3 linked regions of the Oryctolagus cuniculus genome follow. The protein of the gene in region 2 purifies or fractionates together with the protein of the main gene of each other region. This does not show direct contact. Links are inferred from orthologs where the notes say so. Each region holds a gene or a part of one and is shown on either strand. Other genes may lie near its edges.

The links. Proteins that work in one complex are often made in the same cells at the same time.
Region 1: the proteins of NPM1 (region 2) and KNOP1 purify together in Homo sapiens (affinity purification with mass spectrometry; 3 studies listed by BioGRID and IntAct, counting the BioPlex papers as one, with this or other methods). This does not show direct contact. The link is inferred for Oryctolagus cuniculus from reciprocal best matches to the Homo sapiens genes NPM1 and KNOP1.
Region 3: the proteins of NPM1 (region 2) and small ribosomal subunit protein eS28 purify together in Homo sapiens (affinity purification with mass spectrometry; 3 studies listed by BioGRID and IntAct, with this or other methods). This does not show direct contact. The link is inferred for Oryctolagus cuniculus from reciprocal best matches to the Homo sapiens genes NPM1 and RPS28.

What each region holds. Positions count from the first base shown.
Region 1 is NC_091450.1:21,652,144-21,659,725, forward strand, and holds the start of KNOP1 (lysine-rich nucleolar protein 1), read right to left. Parts: upstream 4,261-7,582; 5' UTR 3,135-4,260; coding exon 2,585-3,134; exon of another isoform or gene 2,402-2,584; intron 2,184-2,401; exon of another isoform or gene 1,945-2,183; intron 1-1,944.
Region 2 is NC_091437.1:58,116,507-58,123,550, reverse strand, and holds part of NPM1 (nucleophosmin), read right to left. Parts: intron 6,338-7,044; coding exon 6,258-6,337; intron 5,789-6,257; coding exon 5,669-5,788; intron 5,155-5,668; coding exon 5,061-5,154; intron 4,755-5,060; coding exon 4,648-4,754; intron 4,557-4,647; coding exon 4,489-4,556; intron 1,632-4,488; coding exon 1,574-1,631; intron 1,328-1,573; coding exon 1,244-1,327; intron 128-1,243; coding exon 26-127; intron 1-25. UniProt on the Homo sapiens protein: Involved in diverse cellular processes such as ribosome biogenesis, centrosome duplication, protein chaperoning, histone assembly, cell proliferation, and regulation of tumor suppressors p53/TP53 and ARF.
Region 3 is NC_091432.1:4,207,929-4,214,149, reverse strand, and holds small ribosomal subunit protein eS28, read right to left. Parts: upstream 2,805-6,221; 5' UTR 2,526-2,804; coding exon 2,334-2,525; 3' UTR 1,961-2,333; downstream 1-1,960. UniProt on the Homo sapiens protein: Component of the small ribosomal subunit. The ribosome is a large ribonucleoprotein complex responsible for the synthesis of proteins in the cell. Part of the small subunit (SSU) processome, first precursor of the small eukaryotic ribosomal subunit.

The DNA of each region.
Region 1 (7,582 bases), on a different chromosome or scaffold from region 2:
GTGGCACTAGCCTAGGATAGACATTTAAGTCCAGACAGCTTTAGGTTCCAAACCAAACCACTCTGCTACCCTGACTCAGTCACCTAGCCTCAGGGCCAGTGCTGTGGCACAGTGGGCGAGGCCACCACCTGCGGTGCTGGCACGCCATACCTGAGTGCCAGCTCTAGTCCCAGTTGCTCGGCTTTTTTGAATGATTTTTTTGTTTTTATTTATTATGCATTCATTTGAGAGGTAGAGACACAGAGAGAGGTCTCCCATCCGCTGGTTCACTCCCCAGATGGCCACAACAGCTGGAGCTGGGCGGATCCAAAACCAGGAGCCAGGAGCTTCTTCCAAGTCTCCCATGCGGGTGCAGGGAGCCATCTTCTCCTGCTATCCCAGGCTATAACAGAGAGCTGGATCAGAAGGGGAGCAACCGGGACTCGAACCAGTGCCCATATGGGATGCTGGCACGGCAGGCAGAGGATTAACCTACTGCACCACAAATGCCGGCCTCCTGCTCTGCTTCTGATACAACTCCCTGCTGATGCATCTGGGAAAGCAGTGGAGGATGGCCTAAGTGTTTGGGCCCCTGCCATCCACACGGGAGACCCAGATAAGAATTCCAGGCTCCTGGCTTTGGCCCGGCCTAACTCCAGCCATTGCAGCTACGTGGGGAGTGAACCAGCCGATGGAAGACCTGTCTCTTCCTCTCTAACTCTGCCTTTCAAATGAATAAATAAACCTTAAAAAAAAAAACCAAAACCCTAAGCTCCCTGAGCCTCAACTTCCCCATCTGGAAAATGGGGGTGGAGGGCACTACCGACTCCTTCTCTGGGGGAATAAACAGAACAGTCCACGCCAAGGACGTCCTACACTGTCGATTCCTCTTTCGAAGCCCCTTCCTCAAACCTCCAAGCCTGCTGTTCATCCCAGACACCAGTCAGCTTGCTGACTCCCAGCCCAGGCAGCAACGGGGCCACAACCAGGCCTGCATCCGGGGCTCTCCTAACAATGAACTCCCCCACCTGCACCCCGAGTGACCTCCCCTCACAACTGCCTTCCTGTGTGGCTCACAAGACCAGGGGTAAGGACGGGCAAGAAGCCCCAGCGAGGACCCAAACACTGGGCTTCCGGTGGCTCCGACACACTCTTGCCACAGAGCCTTGGCTGTTCCCGACCTCAGCCCCCCATCCACAAAGAGCGAACCAGAAGCCCCCAGGGTTAGGGGCCACATCCGGCCAGCACACCTGTTTCCCCGCTTTCTGAAACTTCAAGCTGATTGCTGGCACTCACTGATTGGCAATGACACACAGCAAGCCAGCCGGCTCTCCCTAGTTGAATGTTATGGAGACACCTGTGCGAAGGGGCGGGCGCCCTCCACACCCTTCGGCCCCTCTCACCGCGGCCGGCAGCCTAGCCCCCGCTGCTCCCCGGGCCAGCTGAGAGCCGAGTCACCCAGGGCACCCAGAAACCAAGCACAGGGGCTTCTCCAGCCTGCGGCCCACAGGGGCCCCCCTGGATCTGGCTTACTCGTAGCAACTTCAAAGGGCGTTCATAACCTGCTCCAGAAACACCGGGAGAACCAAGGGAACAGCCACTGGTTCACGCATTCCCTGCGTTCCCAGAGCCTGAATGCATGCTAGAAACAGACACAAGACATTGGCCTCCGAGCGACCCGTAGGCGCGGGAGGCTAAGCGCCCCGATGACGACGATGATACAGTCCCCAAAGCAAGAGCGTGGCAAGGTTAGGGCGACGGAGGGCGAGGAACCGGCCCTACCAGTAGTCTGCAAAGTTCTGAAGAACAAAGCTTCGCAGCTGGGGCAGCTGCGGCGAACACACGCCTGGAGCCGCCCCGGTGGGGATGCTCACTGCACAGGTGGGTGGACACAGGGTGCCGAGGCGGGAGGAGGAAGCGGGGAGTTTAGGAGCAAACCGACGGTAACCACGCCCCAGCGCGCACCTGAGCCGGCCGCAGGAACCGCCGCCGCCGCAACAGGTGGGCATCCGCCAGGCGCTCGCCAAGGAGGGGGAGAAGCGAAAACCTGGAGCTGGCGCGTCCGGGGAGCCGAGCGCGCGCGCCGTCCCGGGATCGCGCAGAACAAAGCCGCGGCGGGAGCCGGACGCGCAGCCTCGCCCCCTCCTCCGCCCCGGCTCGGCCATTCGGAACCCGCGGCCCGCCGCGCATCCGCGCTCTCCCCGAGGCGGGGCGGGGAACCGAACCACCGCCGGGGCACCTCGCGCCCGCGCTCTCTCCACAAGCCACGTCCCACGCGTCCACTGGCCCTAGATCCCGGTCCGGACGTGGCAAAACGGGGGGTTCAAACGCGTCCGCGGGGCGCCGGAGCCCGCGGACCACCCCGCCAAGCTCACCGCGGGGGCGCCCCGGCTCCCCTCTCCAAGCGCCCCCAGAAACACACCGCGAGCCTTGCTCCCGGGCAACTTCCTGGAGGCGGGGGCCTAAGGCTCGGGCGGGCTCGCAGCGCCGATCGAGGGGGCAATTTCGGGGTGCGGCGCCGCCACTTCGCCCCCTTCCTCTCCTGCCAGCAGATGCCCAAGCCCCGTCTCCAGCCCCTCGCCGCCGCGCCTTGCACCGCGCTCACCCGTCAGCCGAGGGTCTCCGCCTCCACGTGAGAGCCCGCTCCGCCGTGACCCGGAAGTCAACTTCCACTCGCTGGCTCGCCCCCGCGACATCCAGTTCCTTCCGGGTCGCTGCCAGGAGGCGAACGCGGTTGCCGTGGAAACGGCGTCCATGGCGGCTCCGCGGCAGATCCCCAGCCGCAGTGGCCAGCGCGAGGAGCCGGACAGCTCGGCCGACTCGTCCGGCACCACCCGGACGCCAGCGCTCACCGTGTCGTCCGTGTCCCCCGACCTGCCTGTGTCGCTGGGGCAGGTCACCGAGCCGCCGCCGCCGGGCAAAAACCTGTGGGAGCAGATCTGCGAGGGTAGGCAGCCGGGACTGGCCGACGAGGGCGGGAGCCGGGCGGCCTCTGTGCGCCAGGCGGCTGACGTCGGGGGCCGCTGCGCGATTCCCAGCGGGGGGAACAGGCGGGCTCCAGGTTGGGCCGCGCGGCCTCCCGCTGCGCTCTGTCGTGTGGCTAGGGAAGCAAAACTCCCGGTCCTTGACCTTAACCCCCACCCCCCACTCTTCATTAAAAACACTCGGCTCCCAAGGGAGATCGAGTGTTTTTGCTAAGCACTTCCTGTGGCTCTCTGGTTCCAGCCTGAAGTCCCTGCTCCAGCGCTGGCCTAGAGACACCTGTTCCATTGCAGATGCTCTCCGCGTAACTCGCACCCTTAGCTCCCTACCCCTTGGTGCTGTGGCAAGGAGCTAATGACCGCCACAAAGAATTCATTCAAGGATTTGAGGGTAGGCACAGCGGCTGTCTCCTCCCCAGAGCTCTCGCTCCCCTAAGCCAAACGCTTCTGCAGAATACGTGAGGAGCGTGGCGCCGTGGGGGGAGTCGCTCAGCCTCGTCTGCGAGAGAGGGAAATTGATGGACCCGCTCACAGGGCAGTGGTGAGGACGGAGTAGAAACGTGCGTGAAGGGGCCTCGTTCAGCGGACTCAATAGACCTTCACTGTCACCGACGAAGAAACACGGCTAATGGCTTAGAATCCGGGTTCGTTTTGGCCACACAGGGCTGCAGGGAGAAAGCACAGAGAATCCGGGTGCTCCCCCAGAACCAGGTGGAGGGCGGCCCCCTGCACAGTGACAGCGTCACAGAAGGAAGCGACTGGGGCCACAGGTGGCCGGCCGTGCGCATGGGCACTCGGATGATGTTTGTACCCTGGACGAATAAACTGAATTCTTAACCATCTCAGAGCACAGTTTTCTATCACAGTAAAGTCAGGGTCTGGCAACAGACACGAAAACACAGGCTTTGTGGTGATCCCATCTCTGAGCTGATCAAAAACAAAGGATCACAGCAGGCAGCCCGGCCCGAAGCTCGGTTCGTGAAGACAAAACACAGCCAGGGCCCGGCGTCGCCACGCAAAGGTTCCGCTGCCTCCGGAGCTGCCCGCCTGCCTCCCACGGGGGAGGGCTGCTTGGATGCCCCGCCGTTCTGCTTCCCAGCTACGATCCTGCTGATGCATCCCGGGAGGCACCGGGCGATGGAGACCCAGATGGAGTTCTGGGCTCCTGGATTTGGCCTGGCCCAGCCCCGGCAGTTGTAGGCATTGAGAGTCAACCAGTGGGTGGAAGATTCTCTCTCTCTCTCTCTCTCTCTCTCTCTCGTTGCTCTGCTTTTAAAGTAGGTGCAAATAAACTTTTATATGAAGATACAGTACAGGTAAATACCTAAGATGTTGGTCCTGCCTGGCTCGGGCTGTTCCGTGTGCCTGTGCACCTGCCTCCATGAGACCTTATCCATGAATATTGTTCTGTTTTCCCCCTCCTCTTTCCAGTGACAACCAAGGGCTCTGTCTTGGTGGCAGGGACCTTTCCTGCCAAGGCTCCTAATTAAATCGTCCAGCGGCGTGGGACTCAGCGATGCTGAGCTATGGTTTCAGTCCAGCTGTCTGGGCCTTGCTGCTTCTGGTCTGGTGCTGCTGTGGTTGGCCGCCCCGGCAGCCCTGGCACTGTCTGGGACTCATGGCTCACCCTCAGTGCTCTTGTAGAGTCTGATCCCTTATCCCGTCTGCAAGGTACTGATGCGGGTCAGATCTGAACCAACGCTTGTTCCCCTGGCACACCTGCGGGCTCTCGGCGCTGGACGCTGGAAGCTGCTCTACGTCCATCAGTGCCTTCTCCCCTTACCCACGGCGGCTGGCCCAGGGTTTAATCCTCCCCCTCTCCACCAGCGTTCTGTTGTCCCACTTAGCACAGGAGGGGAGCCCTCCGGTCCCCCTGTGCCCACGTGTTCACATCTGCGCACACACAGAGGACGTGCGCTCTGTGCGCCGCTCACCGCTCAGCCCTCTGTCTGCTCTTGCATTCCAGGAGCTCGCCCTGTCACTCACCACCTCCACATCTTTCTTCCCCACAAACACTCTGCTCTTTCACCTCGGGGAGGGGGGAATAAAACCTGCCCGGACCCCATTAGCTGCCAGTCCCAATCCACCTCTCGTCCCTGCTCAGCCCGACTTCTGCGCACCACTCTCACTCCCACTTCCTTAGCACCGCAGGCAGACTGAGCTTCACTTGATCTCCCCGAAGAAAGGATTCTCCTGCACCCAGTCAGCAGTCAGCACGAACCCACGGGGCGTGCGTGGTGTGACGGCAGACAGGCCTGTGGGCCCGGACAACGGACTCCGGATCCCAATGCCACCATCATCCACTCCGCCTCCCGCTCCAGAAGCCGAGGACCCCTCTTGTGTGCTTCCTGGTTATGACCCCTGACCCCCGCTCTCAATCGCCAGTCCCTACAGGGTCTCCCTGCTTAGCATCTCCAGGGATCAGCCCCACCCCCGCCCCACCCCCAGGGTGAGGCCCTTACAACCCCCAACTGGATTGAACTGGGGCAGGTCTCCTTCTAGACCATGGTCCACTCTGTCACAGGAGCTGCCCTAAAATTCCCATCTCACCATGCCATGCCAGCCTGACACTGAAGCCCCTTAAGGATCCAACCCTGTTTTTCTTGGCTCATCATTTTTCTTGCTTCAAACTGTTGTAATGGCCAACATTTAGTGAACTGCTCTTTAGATGCAAGGAACTAGTGTAGGTACGTTTTCTTTATTTTTTAAAAAAGATATATTTATGGGGCCGGCGCTGTGACACAGTAGGTTAATGCCCTGGCCTGAAGCACTAGCATCCCATATGGGTGCCGGTTCGAGACCCGGCTGCTCCACTTTCTGTCCAGCTCTCTGCTATGGCCCAGGAAAGCAGTAGAAGACGGCCCAAGTCCTTGAGTCCCTGCACCCACATGGGAGACCCGGAAGAAGCTCCTGGCTCCTGGCTCTGGATTGGTGTAGCTCCGGCTGTTGCAGCCATTTGGGGAGTGAACCAGCGGATGGAAGAGTGCGCTCTCTCTCTCTCTCTCTGTGTAACTCTCACTTTCAAATAAATAAGGCAGAGATAGAGAGAGAGAAGGAGAAAGAGATCACCCAGCCCCTGGTTCACTACCCAAATGGCTGCGACAGCCCGGGGCTGGGCTGATCCAAAGCCAGGAACCAGGAGGCTCATCCAGGTCTCCCACATGGGTGCAGGGGCCCAAGCACTTGGGTCGTCCTCCGCTGCTTTTCCCAGGCGCATTAGCAAGGAGCTGGATCATAATGGGGCAGCCAGAACTGGAACCAGCACCCACCAGCACTGCAGGTGGAGGCTTAACCTTCTATGCCACAGCACTGGCCTCATGTGCATTCTCATTTAAGACTCATAGCAACTCGGGATTTTCCCTGTTGTACAGTGGGAGAAACTGAGGCTTAGGAAACTTGCCCAAAGTGGCTAGCAGAGTGAGGATCAAAGTCAGGCCTGTGTGACACTCAAGTCCAAACCCCTCAACAAGAAACCAGCACGTTGGGACTGGCGTTGTAATACAGCAGGTTAAGCCCCTGCCTGAAATGCCAGCATCACATATGGGCATCGGTTCAAGTCCCAGCTGCTCCATTCCAATCTAGTTCCTGGCTAATGTGCCTAGGGAAGAAGCAAAAGATGGCCCAAGTCCTTGGGCCCCTGCCACCCGCGTGGGAGACCTTTCAGCCTGTCCCAGTCCTGGCTGTTGGGGATATTTGGGGGAGTGAACCAGCAGATGAAAGATCTCGGTATCTCTCTCTCTCCCTCTCCCTCTCCCCTTCTCTCTCCCATCCAAGTACTAACCAGGCCCAACCCTGCTTAGCTTCTGAGATTAGGCGCATTCAGGGTGGTATGGCTGCAGACCTCTCCTTCTCTCTGTTTTTGCCTTTCAAATAAAGAAGTCTTAAAAAGGCGGGGGGGGGGGGGAGCCAGTATTCTTTCAAGCATGGACAGGAGCACCTAGAGCAGAACCTTCTGGAAGCTTGCTGACAACGCAGATTGCTTGGTGCTGGCCCTGGCCTGATGAGTCCTTGAACTCTGGGCATGAAGCTAGCACTCCAGGCAAGGCACATGGCACAGTGCACCGTCCTGTACCATGTCCTTGTCACTACCCCATGTCCCACCTCTCCACTCCTAGGCACAGGCTTTGCTTCGTAATGGAACTTCTCTGCCCTGTTCTAACCTCTGTATCTTTCAAGACTCAGCCCCAGCGGCCCCTCTCCTGGAAGGCCTGTGTTTCCTTAGTGCTTCTAAAGCCGCAGGTGCAGCTCTCTGTGGCATCGCGCTTACGTATTGCAACCTGGGTTCACTGTTCATCCCCTCACGGCAGCTCTGTTCTTCCCTCTGTCCAGCAACCTTGTTTAACCCCCTGGCAGAGTACACACCCTCCAGGACTACCAATAGGCAGCAGGGGGCAAATGTTGCCTTTTAATTGTTTCCATTAGGATCGCTTTCAGCAGCAAACAACACAAAGCTCAACTTGTAAATGGCCTGGGCCATCAGTTCATTTCATTATCTAGCATCCCAGAGGCACGGCGGGGAAAGCGTCCAACTGTGGTCCCAGGGCGCTGCTCGCCTGGCAAGCTGCCGGGCTCACTCTGCTGGTTGCACGGTGTCGCCTTTGCTGTGTTCAGTGAGCGACCAC
Region 2 (7,044 bases):
GGATAGAACCAGCTAGTTTACTCACTTTTTCTATACTTGCTTGCATTTTTGCTTTAATGTCTTCTACGGAAGTAGGTCCTTTTGGTGTTTTAGGAGTTTTTTCCTGTTTTTTGAAGGATTCTTGACCCTGGGGAAAAATTTGAATGCCCAAAAGTTCATTAATATTAATGTATATAATATTGATAATATTGACCCTACAGTCCCCTCTATTACAATAGCAAGCATATAACCCAGAGGTGTTTCCATATATTCACGCTGCACCATACTGTTTGAAATAATTAGGAATAACTTGCATTTGCATTTATTTAGTTCAAAAGAATGAAATCAATAGCTGGATGCCTGGTGTTCACACCCCAGAGAATTCACCTTCCAAAGGTAGACGGTGGCTTCTAGCTCTACTGGATACCAACATGTAGACAGGGCTCAACCTCTGCTCTGTGCCACTACGTGTACTTTCAATAATGAATAATCCTAGGGCTGGCACTATGGCACAGTGGGCTAAGCCTCCATCTGCAGCATCGGCTGGTATCCTGGCTGCTCCTCTCCCAACCCTGCTCTCTGCTATGGCTTAAGAAAGCAATGGAAGATGGCCCAAGTGTTTGGGCCACTGCACCTGCATGGGGGACCTAGACGCTCCAGCCTTCCTATCAGCCCAGCTATTGCAGCCATTCAGGGAATGAACCAGCAGATGGAAGACCTGTCTCTCCTGTTTGCAACTCTACCTCTCAAATCTTAAAAAAAATCCATACGCCTTATAAGAAATCACTTATGTGGCCAGTGCCGAGGCTCAATAGGCTAATCCTAGAACCCCGGGTTCTAGTCCTCGTCAGGGCACCGGATTCTGTCCCGGTTGCTCCCCTTCCAGGCCAGCTCTCTGCTGTGGCCCAGGAGTACAGTGGAGGATGGCCCAAGTGCTTGGGCCCTGCACCTGCATGGGAGACCAGGAGAAGCACCAGGCTCCTGGCTTTGGATCAGCGCGGTGCGCCGGCCGCAGCGGCCATTGAGGGGTAAACCAACGGAAAAAGGAAGACCTTTCTCTCTGTTTCTCTCACTGTCCGCTCTGCCTGTCAAAAATTAAAAAAAATAAAATAAAAAAGAAACCACTTATGTAAATGTAACAAAAAGCTATGGTGGCTCCAACCCCTACCCCCGGAATCCTAGGAGCCACCTCTCCAGTATGTGGAATGGAACAATGAATAACAAGCATTTCTTCCCTCTTGACTGTATACATTTATCCACTTACTTTTGATCTTGGTGTTGATGGTTTTGAGTCTTTCCCATTCTGGTTTGATTTCTGTGCATTTTTGGCTGGGGTATCTCGTATAGACTGAAAATGGAAAGCACTCTTAATCAGAGGTCCCACAACAAAATCTATCAGTTCAAATAAACTGTGCCAAATCCCATAAATGCAGCATTTCGTCAGAAGGTTACCAAAGGCTAACAAATTGTGGGAAAAGGCCATGAATATCATTCCCCCCTTTAATGTTTTCAGTACAAGGCCATATTCTCTCCTTCCATGCACTACACAACAGATAAGCTGTCATTTCTGACAACCTTATAGCACTGTACTTACTTTCTTCACTGGAGCTTTTTCTTCAGTTTCCTCATCATCAAAATCATCATCATCATCACTAGAAATGAAATAAGGGAAAATATTTAAGAACTTCCAAAATTTGGGGGGAGGCTAGTGAAAGAATTGAATGCATTCTCTAAGACATACTTGCTCATTCAGGCTCACTGTAACACTTTTCAGAATAGCCAACCAAATGTCCAAATGGCTGAATAGATTAAGAAAATTTGTAAACATACAATGGAATACTATTCAGTCTTAAGGAAACCCTGTCCCATGCTGCAACAGGGATGAATCTTGAGGACATGTTAAAATAGCTAGGGGCCAGCACTGTGGCAGAGTGGATAAAACTTCTGTCTGCTGTGCCAGCATCTCATACAGGTGATGGTTTGAGTCCTGACTGCTCAATTTCTGAATCAGCTTTCTGCTATGGCCTGAGAAAGCAGTAGTGGATGGCCCATGTTCTGGGGCCCCTGAACCATGGGAGAGACCCAGAAGCTCCTGGCTCCTGGTTTTGGATCAGCCCAACTCCAACCATTGTGGCCATCTGGGAAGTGAACCAGTGGTTGGAAGCTCTCTGTGCTCTGTTTAACTCTTTCAAATAAATCTTAAAAAATAAAAAAAATAAAAAAAAAAAAAAACCCTAAAGACACAAAAAATTCACAGTAGACTTAAATCTAATGACAATATTCAACAGAATCCCTACAACAATGCTGACTTCCTTGGAAAAATCTGTCCTAAAACCACATAGGGTTCTCACTTGGTGATTCAAACAGTAATCTAAGACCTATATGAATGCTGAAGCTACTAGTATATTTTCACGACCTCAGATTTGGCAACGGTGTTTTAGGTTTAACAAAAGCAAAGCAAAAAATTCTGTACTTCATGAAAACGAATTTTTATGCAAAGGCTACCACCAAGTTACTGAAGATGGCAGAAAATGGCAGAAAGTATTTGCAAATCACCTAAGGTACTTGCTTCCAGAATATAAAGAACTCTAGCAATTTTTGAATGAGCAAGGGATCTGACCAACATTTTTCTCCAAAGATATACATATGGTATATGTCCATCACCAGTCACCATGGAAATGCAAATCAAAACCACAATGATACTATACACCAGTGGGGTAGGTATGTATACAACCCACCACTGGCAGGAATCATTCAGGCACTTAGAGGAACTGCCAGGCTTTTTTTTCCCGAAGAGTTAAACCTCCAGTCACCATTTACCCGAAACATCTAGAATAGGCAAATCTACAAATATAAAGACCAAGTTCATTCGTTGAGGAACATGAGGAGTCACAGCTAAGGGAAATGATTTTTTCAGTTACACCATTTTAAAATGATTTGTGCAGCTAGTGACGTGGTGTCGCATCTACTCCACTTCAGATACAGCTTCCTGATAACGGCCCAAGAAAAGGTTCAAGGAGCTGGTGATGTGCCGCAGTGGGTTAAACCAGCTGCAGTGCCAGCACCCCGTATGGACTCCAGTTCAAGACCCAACTGTTCCACTTCACATCCATCTCCTCTGTGGCCTGGAAAAGCAGAAGATGGCCCAAGTCTTTGGGCCTCTGTGCCTTCACGGGAGATCCAGAAGAAGTTCCTGGTTCCAGCTGTTGCGGCCACTTAGGTAGTGAACAGATGGAAGATTCTCTGCCTCTCTAACTCTGCCTTTCAAATAAAAAGTTTTAAAAATAAATCGGTTTAAGACATAAAAGAATCTGTCTTTAAAAAAAAACTTCAAAAGGCCAAGTTTTAGACACTTCCCACTCACTGATACTCCTGGCTCTTGGCTAGGCTCCACCCTGACTGCTGTAGCCACTTGGGGGCAAATCAGTGGATGTTAAGATCTGTTTCTCCCTCTCTCCTTAACTCTTTCAAATAAATGTAAAAACAGAAAATTGTTTTTAGGTGATGGCTGCACAGGGTGTTGATTCCAGGATCCAAGTATTCCACAATCCAGGGATATTTAAACCACTTATAAGAGTGTCCGCATACATATACACATACATATACTCCAAATCACCTCTAAGTTACTTCTTACACCTAACAAAAATGATGAAAGATTAAAAATCAAGTCTGTATTCAGTACAGAAGACACTGTCCAACAATACTAGTATAGAATCCAGATATAAATTTCAACTAAGCTGTGCCATACCCTTTCCATCCTCAAAAGAGGATCTCCCTTTCACCTTGTTCTTTGTTCAAAGTCTACTGCCAATTGGCTATTTCATCTTTTCACATCTTAACCATCATCCATGCCATGCTCTTAACCCTCAGCCCCCTTGAGGCAACCATGACGTCCCTTAGCACACACATGCTTTTGACTACCCTCTCCTCTATTCGAAAATGTGCTGATTTGGACCACCCATACTTTACTTTCTCCCTAAGCATTATCTACTTACTATATACACAAAGGGACAATTCCGACACTGTGGTTACATTTTAAAAAGTAAATCTACTGGGGCTGGCACTGTAGCACAGCAGGCTAAGTCTCCATCTGTGGTGCCAGCATCCCATAAGTGTGCCAGTTTATGTCCCAGCTGCTCCCCTTCTAATTCACTCTCTGCTTATGGTCTGGGAAAGCAGTGGAAGATCGCCCAATTGCTTAGGCTCCCAAACCCACATGGGAGGTCGAAGAAACTCCTGGGCTCATTGCTTTGGTTCAGCCCATTTGGGGAGTAAGCCAATAGATGGAAGGATTCTGTCTCTACTTTCCCATTCCTACCAATGCTGCATGCTCTACTCTTAGGAAAAGCCACAATGCACAGCAGCATTTTAAAGGCTCAGTCCCAACATTTTTTTGCTGACAACCACTGACCACATGAATCCCTTTAATTATGAACTATTGCACAGAATAACTCTGGTAAATCATTTCCATAAAATTACCACCCATGCACATAAAAGCATGCTACTCACTCTTCATCATCATCATCGTCGTCGTCGTCATCTTCATCATCTTCTTCAGCAGCAAGCTTTACTTTTTTCTAAAAAGGAAAATATACTTATGAGCAAATGCTGATTGTTACCACCTAACAAAGGCTGTAATGCAAATCTGCAGTGAAATGACATCTCTACCTGTGGCACCTTGCTGCCACCTCCAGGGGCAGATCGTTTTCCAGATATACTTAATAGCTTCACATCCTCTTCCTCCTCGTCTTCTGATTCTGCATCTTCCTCCACAGCTAAAATAAAATTATCAGACATTTATTTTAAAACTCAAACAAGAATCATTCAGGAAAAATAAAGATTAATACTATAGAATGCTGAACACTTAAAAATCCAACAAAAGGACAGCAAATGGCAACAGAATTTTTTAAAGGATTTTGTTGTTAAACATGCCCTTACTATCATTAATTTAAGGTTCTCACTGGAACTCACTATAAACAGTAATAGTATAACCAAGCCTGGTTTAAGTACAAACCAGAAGCCAAGCAACTGCAGTATATGATATATATATATATACAATGCAGTATATGAAAAGAACATACCTACTAAGTGCTGTCCGCTAATATGCACAGGCCCTGAACCACACTTCAACCTTAAGACCACAGGTGGTGTTATTTCAAAGCCCCCAAGGGAAACCTAAAATGGAGATTTAAGAACAGCATTACAGGCAAATCCACACACCAAAATAAACCAGTGAGTCTGTTTCCCCCTCTATTTAACAGCAGAAACCTTTTTAACAGCTGACCATTCAACTCTAGTGACAGAAACATGTAGCTATGACTAATGGGGTAAAGAAGCACCAAATAAAATTCCACTTTCTAGGGCCAGCACTGTGGCAAAGTGGATGAAGCCGCTGCCTGTATTGCCAGCATCCTGTATGGGCAACTGCTCCACTTCTGACCCAGATTTCTGCTATGGCCTGGGAAAGCAGGGGACACCTGGAGGAAGCTCCTGGCTTCAATCAGCCCACCTCCAGCCACTGCGATCACTTGGGGAGTGAACCAGCATTGGAAGACCTCTCTTTGCCTCTCTGTAACTGACTTTCAAATAATCTTTAAAAAAATTTTTACTACTGCTTGTAGTAACCTAAATACCTGCATTAAAACAGAACTAAATCCTGACATAAAATCCCAAATCCAAGCACCCTTACCGTTGGCTGTACAGACATTTTCAGCGTTGCCAGTGTGACTTTAATCGGGCTGCCTTCATAATTCATTGCCTCTGCTTCAACAATGTGCAGTTCATCCTTGGCACCAGCGCCTAAACTGACCTGTGAACAGTTTGTAAACTTTAATTTCCAACTGTTTTACAATCCTGCCTCGGAAATCTGTGTTTAAAAATACCAAATATGACTTTTATCATTATTTCCAACTTGTGCCAACACTACCTTCAAGTTTAGTAAGATTGGCAAACCAATTTCTCATGTTCAGTAAACTTGAAGAAATACTTAAAAATGCACACATATTATACAGAACACCTATTAAACACCCACTACAAAGCTGAGTAGGTTCGTCTGGCAGACACCCTAGAGATCTTTCATGATTCAAATGAAGCAAGATAATAAAACGGTGACTTGACTTTACCAGATTACCAGGTAGCAGTGAACATGCCCAGCTTTTTAATCAAGTTTATTGATGAGGTATATACAATATCCAATCATAAAAACTCTTATAAGCAGAGAAATAGGGGACAATTAAATTGCTGAAATCAAGAAATGTTTATTTTAAAAGCTTAAGTACCGTTCTTAAAGATAACTGGTGCTCATTTTCATCATTGTCCACTTTAAAGTGATAATCTTTGTCAGCCTTTAGTTCACAACCTGTAAAAGAAAAAAGCAATTCTAACAAGCAGAAAATTAACAAAGCTAACCTTTTAAGTAGTTTTCCTCTACTTTAGCTACCACAGAGTAGGAAGAATGGTCTCTTTCTGGTTTCCTCAACACTCATTTTTAAAAATCATTTAAGGTCCTTACAAGTCTGTATTAGTTGCATTTTCATTACAGTATTTTTCAATACACTGAGACAAGCACTACTACTTCTGCAGACATATCAATAATGAAGCCTAATATATAATAGTTAATTCCCAACCATTTAAAAAACTGGAATTATCTATCTAAACTCCCAATAGTGGAAAATTAGCAATGAGAATGGTTTCTCAGATGAACAGCTTTCATCTACAGAGAAAAGTACCAACATAAAAGAATCAACTTGTAAGGGTCAATATTCCAAAGTGATGCACATTAGAAATAGAGGCAACAGACACAATCAAGGACACTTCCAATATAAAGGGCCAAAAAAAAGAATTATTGTTTATAAAATCACCAGAAACCTCTAAAAATGGCTAAGAATTAAGTCCTAAAGTGCACTACCGTGCACATTATCTACTCCCACTCCATCGGGAAACTGTTTTAATTATTGCCAGAATAAAAATTTACGTGGTTACACTTCACTCCCATTCACAATAGATACTTAAGCATGCTAGTGCTAACAAACCTCAACATGGTTTGTAAACTAGGGGTAGGATTAG
Region 3 (6,221 bases), on a different chromosome or scaffold from region 2:
GCGTCTGGTCTGAGCTGTGGCCGAGAGCTTGCACGCTGACCTTCTGTTCGGGCACTGCCTGCACCACGGGGCGGCAGGGCTGTGCCGGGGCCTGGGGCAGACCGGCTCTCTGTCAGCCAGGCTGGCACTTGTCGTCCCGGTGTTTGGCAGGGAGGGGTCTGCCTGGTGCCATCACACAGGATTGTCTGGCTTCGAGGCCTCACGGCTGGCCCGGCACAGCCCACCCTGGGTTGTGTGGGGCACAGTCCTTGTCCTTGGTGCCTTGGCAAAGGAGATTTTTTTTTTTTCAAAGACTTATTTATTTTATTTGAAAGACAGAGAGACAGAGAGACAGACACACACACACAGGTCTTCTGTCCACTGGTTCACTCCCCAGATGGCCACAATGGCTGGAGCTGAACCCTTGCTTCTCAAAAGCCGAGCGGCGGCCGGCGCCGCGGCTCACTAGGCTAATCCTCCACCTAGTGGCGCCGGCACACCAGGTTCTAGTCCCGGTCGGGGCGCCGGATTCTGTCCCGGTTGCCCCTCTTCCAGGCCAGCTCTCTGCTGTGGCCAGGGAGTGCAGTGGAGGATGGCCCAAGTGCTTGGGCCCTGCACCCCATGGGAGACCAGGAAAAGCACCTGGCTCCTGGCTCCTGCCATCGGATCAGCGCGGTGCGCCGGCCGCAGCGCGCTGGCCGCGGCGGCCATTGGAGGGTGAACCAACGGCAAAAGGAAGACCTTTCTCTCTGTCTCTCTCTCTCACTGTCCACTCTGCCTGTCAAAAAAAAAAAAAAAAAAAAAAAAAAAAAAGGCCGAGCGGCATTTGGCAGCGCGCAGGTGCACCGGGCGTTCCCGGCATTTGCCTTTCTCCAGGCTTTCTCGCTATTAGACGGCACGCCACAGTGACCCTCGCTGTCTCCGTGCACCTGTGAGAAAACGTTCCCAGGGAGAACACGTCGTTTATATTTGCTTTTTAGGGCTTGTTTATTTGAAAGAGTTGGAGAGAGGGAGTGAGAGATCTTCCCTCTGTGGGTTCACTCCCCACATGGCCACAATGGCTGAGGCTGGGCCAGGCCGACACCGGGAACCTGGAACTCCATCCGAGTCTCCCACGTGGGTGGCAGTGGTCCAGGCTTGGGCCGTCCTCTGCTGCTTTCCCAGGTGTGTTAGCAGGGAGCTGGATCGGAAGTGGAGCAGCCGGGACTTGAACCAGCGCCCATAGGTGATGACGGCACTGCAGATGGCTGTGCATATCTATTTTTTTTTTAAGATTTATTTATTTGGAAGGAAAAGTTACAGAGAGGCAGAAGCAGAGAGGAAAGAGAGAGAGAGATCGAGATCTTCCATCCGCTGGGTCACTCCCCAGCGCTGATCTGAAGCCAGGAGCCAGGAGCTTCTTCCGGGTCTCCCACGTGGGTGCAGGGGCCCAAGCACTTGGCCGTCCTCCACTGCTTTCCCAGGCCACAGCAGAGCTGGGCCGGAGGTGGGAGCAGCCAGGATTCGCACTGGCGTCCACATGGGATGCTGGCGCTGTAGGTGATGGCTTCACCTGCCGCCTCGGTGCCAGCGCCTCCATTTGTGGTTTTAAAGATGCTGGCGACAGCCATCCCAGAAGGCTGTGCAGATCCACACCCTGGCAGAGTGACCCCTGCCGTTGTCCGTGGGGGCGCCCGCTCTGCCGCGTCCTCCCCACTCGGGTTCTGGGGTTCTTGCATTTGGGTCCCGAGTTGGTTAAGAATTATACCACGTTCTGGTTCGCGCCTCCCTCACTGCTGGTTCTGCAAGTCGCCTGCTCTTGGCCTCTGCCCACCTCTGCTGAGTTGCTGTCCGGTTGTGCAGCTCTTGTCTGTGTCCCAGGTTTTCCCTCGGGTCTGTAGCAGGCCCCTCACCCGGGCTCAGACTGCAAGCACGTTTGCCTGTGTTCCCTTCCGGGGCTCTTATTGTTGTGTGTGTTCCAATCAAGCACTGCTGTGTCTGATTTATTTATTATTTTGGTGTGCAGTTTGGGGTTGGGATCTGGCCAGCAGGTGGGGAGCTGCCCGGCACCTTCCTGGAATGCTCTATCTTGTCCCCCTGTGCAGCGTCTCCAGGCGCCTGGCTCCTGCCTCCGGATCCTTCTGTGGGGCTTCAGGGGCCGGGGCGGCTCTCTGTGCCGTTTGCTGCTGTTTTAATCTCCGTGGCCCCGGCTGTGCCAAGTCCGTCTTCGTTGTTCCCTTAGACCCCGTGCACACTTCAGGGTCCGCCTTTTGATCTATGGACTGAAGAAGTAAACAGTGACATCAGCAGGTGTCCGCGGGCTGCATTTCTTTCTTTCTTTTTTTTTTTTTTTTTTCACCCCCTGCGCGGCGGCATCAGCGCAGCCTCCGAGCCTCCCGCTCGGACTCCAGCAGGGTGAGCACGCCGCCCTCGCGCACGGGGCCTTTCACGTTGCGGATGGTGGAGTGGCTTGTGTCGTCCATGAACTCCACGCGCACCTGCGTGCGCTGTCCTGAGAGCCAGGTGACCCTGGCCAGTTTGATGGGCTGCACTCCACTCGTGTCCATGATGGCGGCTCGCGGCGGTCGGGCGGAGAGCCGCGGGCTGCATTTTAAGTGGCCTGTGGCGAGCTGGCCGCTGGCTGTCCAATTCAGATGATGTGTGGCCTGTGGGGGCGCCAGCCTGGCAATTCGTGGGTCGTTGGAAGCTCGGGGAGCGCTGGAGAGGTGCCGTGGGGCCGGGCGGCCGGTGCCGCTTCTGCGCGGCTCGCCCCCCGTGCCTGCTTGGGACCAGCCCTATAATGCAAACTAGTTTCAGCGGCAGCCGCAGGGCGGGTGTATTACTGGGTGAGTCACAGCTCCCCTCCTCCTTCTTTCCAGAACAACCTGGAGGCACCTCGGATTCGGCAGAGGGCTGCACCTCTGTGAGCCCGGATGGGCAGGCGGCGCCTGCCTGGCAGCGCCCTCAGGAAGTTGCTCAACGGGGCGTTCAGAGCCGCCCAAGCACGTCCGCCCGCCCGGGCGCCCTCCCCACTCGGTGCCACCTTGCGTGGCCCACCCTGGCGGGCGGTCACCGGGCGGGAAGCGCCACGTGCTCCCTACGGCATGGTGGCTTTCGAGCGAGCGGGGTTCTAGGGCTGGCTTCTGGGGGCGCAGGCCGTGGCTCCAGGTGTGCAGCGGGAACGTGGCTTCCAGAGGGGAGCGGCTGGGGGAGAATCGGGGTGCGGCCTCGCGGGTGGCCTCTGCCCTGGCGGGGGTCCCTGCCCTCCCGGCTCCAAGGCCTGTGCTCATTCCGTGAAAGACTGGATTTGGAGTGGAAGACAGCACTGGCATCCAGTTGCCCTGCCTCCCCGGAACGTTCCCTGTGCCCGTGTTTTGTATGGCGCGCCCTGGTTAACCTTCCTAAAACCGGCAGCTGGGCTGTCTCGGGTGCTGTGCCGTTCTCCGGTGCTCAGAGCTGGAACGTGTCGGCTTGGCGGGCCGCGCTCCCCGCCATGACGGCTTCTACGGCCAGATCCCTCTCCTCGTGTTCTGGAACTTCCCAGGGTCCATGCAGCCCGGGGGGCCTTGAGGACAGGGCTCTCGTCCTCCCACCTCTGCCTGGTGTCCAGCAGAGCTGTCCAGGGAGCGGCCTCGCCCACCCTTGTCTGGCCCCCTGGCCCCCTGGCCCCGAGTTCTACCATTGGGGGCTCCCTCTGCCCTCCTGAAATCCAGGCCAGCTGTTTCCCGGATTGTGGGACACCTGACGTGCTGTGAACAGAGACTTCTGGGACCAAGCGAGAGGGCTGGCACCCCCCCCCACCCCCCCGTAGTCAGCGCCCCGTTCCTGAGGCGTGGACTCTGGTGGGACTGCACAGGCCAGCTGTTTGGCCTTGCGGAAACCCGTTTGTATCCCAAATGGACTTGGCCATGAGGTCCCCCGTGCATGAGATCCCCCACCCCACCCGCAGCCTGGACCCCGAGGTGCGGGTGGGGAGCTAGGTCGGCCGGCATCTGTTTCCCCCACGTGGCGTTGTCATCGCCGTTTAAGGAACTGGGCAGGAGGATCGCTGGTCGCGCAAGCCGACGCTGTATGCTCCGAAGCTCTGGAGCCGGGGAGTGTGTGGGTGGTTCCGGGACGTTTGCAGCACTTTCAGCGTGCAGACGCTGGCGTCCGTTCTGTCACGTCCTCACTGCCCGGGCTCCGTGCGTGTTGGCTGCAGGGTCAGTTGGCTCCCAGGCATGGTGGGCTGCCCCGTTGCTGCCGTGGTCCCACTCCCTGGAGCCTGCGGCCCAAGCCTCGTGCTCTCTGTGGCTCGCAGAGCTGGTGGCCGGGCCCGGGCCCCGCAGTGGGGGGGCACTGGGGGGGGTGCTGGCGCTGCTCGAGTGGACGGCTTCCTTTCCACGAGGCCACGGAGCTGCCCCGTGCTGGGGACCTGGCCGTGCAGCTCTGGGCTGATGACCTCCCGGCCATGGCCAGCTGTGGGCCGTCGTCTCTGCTGATGGTCTGTGGCGACACGTCACCCTGTGCGGGGGCTGGCATTGGGGTGGGCCTGTCTGCTGCCCTGGGGGGTTCTGCTCAGGGGTCCCCCTGGGCTCTCGGCCCGTGTGCTGCAGGCGCCGTGGAGAGATGTGGCGGGACAGCTGGCCGAGGACCGGGGTGCTTTCCGGAGGTACCTGCTGGGGGAGCCACGGGAGGTGGCTGCGCTCACTCCGGAAGCGAGGCTGGGACCAAGGGCAGGCCCAGCCTTTGGGCTCCTCGTTGTAGTTTTTGAAAACCCTTCCGTCTCTTTGGGACCCCGTCCTCGCGGGGAAGCTGTGTCTATGAAGCCGTGACTTAGCCTTTGGGAGCCACACAGAGCCAGCAGCCAGAGCCAGGGGCGGGTGTGGGGAGTGCTCTGTCGGCTCCACGTGGTGGGGCTCTGGTGTGGCTGCTCAGAGACCCAGGACACCTTACTCTCGTGGTCCCTGGGCCGTGGACCTCGGGGTGGGAATAACTGACTCGGAGCCATCGTGGGGTCTGCCCCAGGGTCCCGGCAGGCCGCTGCTGAGGGGCACTGGGCTCCCGTGGCCTCCCCACTCCCTGCCCTGCTCGTCTCGCTGTCTGGGCGAGACGTCTTGGGCGTCTCCCGCTGGGCTGTCCGTGCCTTCCTCCGGAGGCAGTGATGCCTTCGATGCTGGGGTGTGGCCACAGCAGGGGCTTCCACCGCTCCTGCTATAGGCGGCACCCGCGTGCCTCAGGGGCCGTCCTCGGATCCTGCCCAAGCCTGGCTCTCTCTCTGGCGTTTAATCCGGGATCTGATCTCGGTGGCTGGATCGTGGGGTAGTTGTCTCCCGTGGGGACGTGGCTGGGGTTGTGTGATCTCCCCTGGCTGTGTGGGACGTAGTGGACAGGAGGTTGAACGAGGAATGGCCTCTGATCTGTGTCCTGGGAGGCCCTTGAGCAGGTAGGGGTGACGGGCAGGGGATCCCGCTCCATTGCTCCCTGCCCAGGGTGCCTGAGGCCGGCGTGGCCACCTGTGGATGCTCCGGAAGGCTCTATCCAGTGGCTACTGCCCACTTGGGCCCACTCGGGCAGCCCTGGAAGCTACGTTGGGCTGGGGTCCGGCTGGCCACACGCAGCCCCTCTCTCATCAGCTCTGCAGTCGGGGACATGTGAGCTGTGTGCTCTGGGCCACCGTTCCCTCCCCTCCCGTGCAGGGGCGGGGGTGGAGGTGATAATCACGCTGCCGCGTACAGGCTTGTCCCGAGGGTGCAGGGAGGCGGTGTTGGGAATGGCCGGTCCAGGGCCCGGTGCTACAAGGGCAGAGATCACTTACTGCCGGGAGAGGGTCCTGGGGATTCTGGCCCTGGGGCCTGGGGTCCGCTGAAGTGCTCGGCTGCAGCTGTCCAAGCTCACCAGCTTGGCCTGCCTGTCTGGTTAGAAGGTGGACGGTCGGGGGCGGGCACTGTGGTGCCCGTGCTCTGCGTCCCGTGTCGGAATGCCTGGGATCCAGCTTCCTGCCAGTGCTCCTGGGAAGCAGCTGGCGATGGCCCTGGTGCTTGAGTTCCTGGCTTTTGGCTTTGGCCCGACCCAGCCCTAGTGAAGAAGCGTGCCGACGCGGCTCTGCCTGGCACAGACCTGGCAAGCTGGGAACGGAGTGGACGCAGGCAGACCACGGCTCCGCCCAGACACTGGGAGCCAGCAGGCCGTGGCCCTCCGGCAGCTGTGGTTACAGCCAGGTGAGGGCAGCGGTGGGGAGAGGCGCCCTCCCTGCCCCTGCTGCCAGGGCCTGGCCCCTGTGC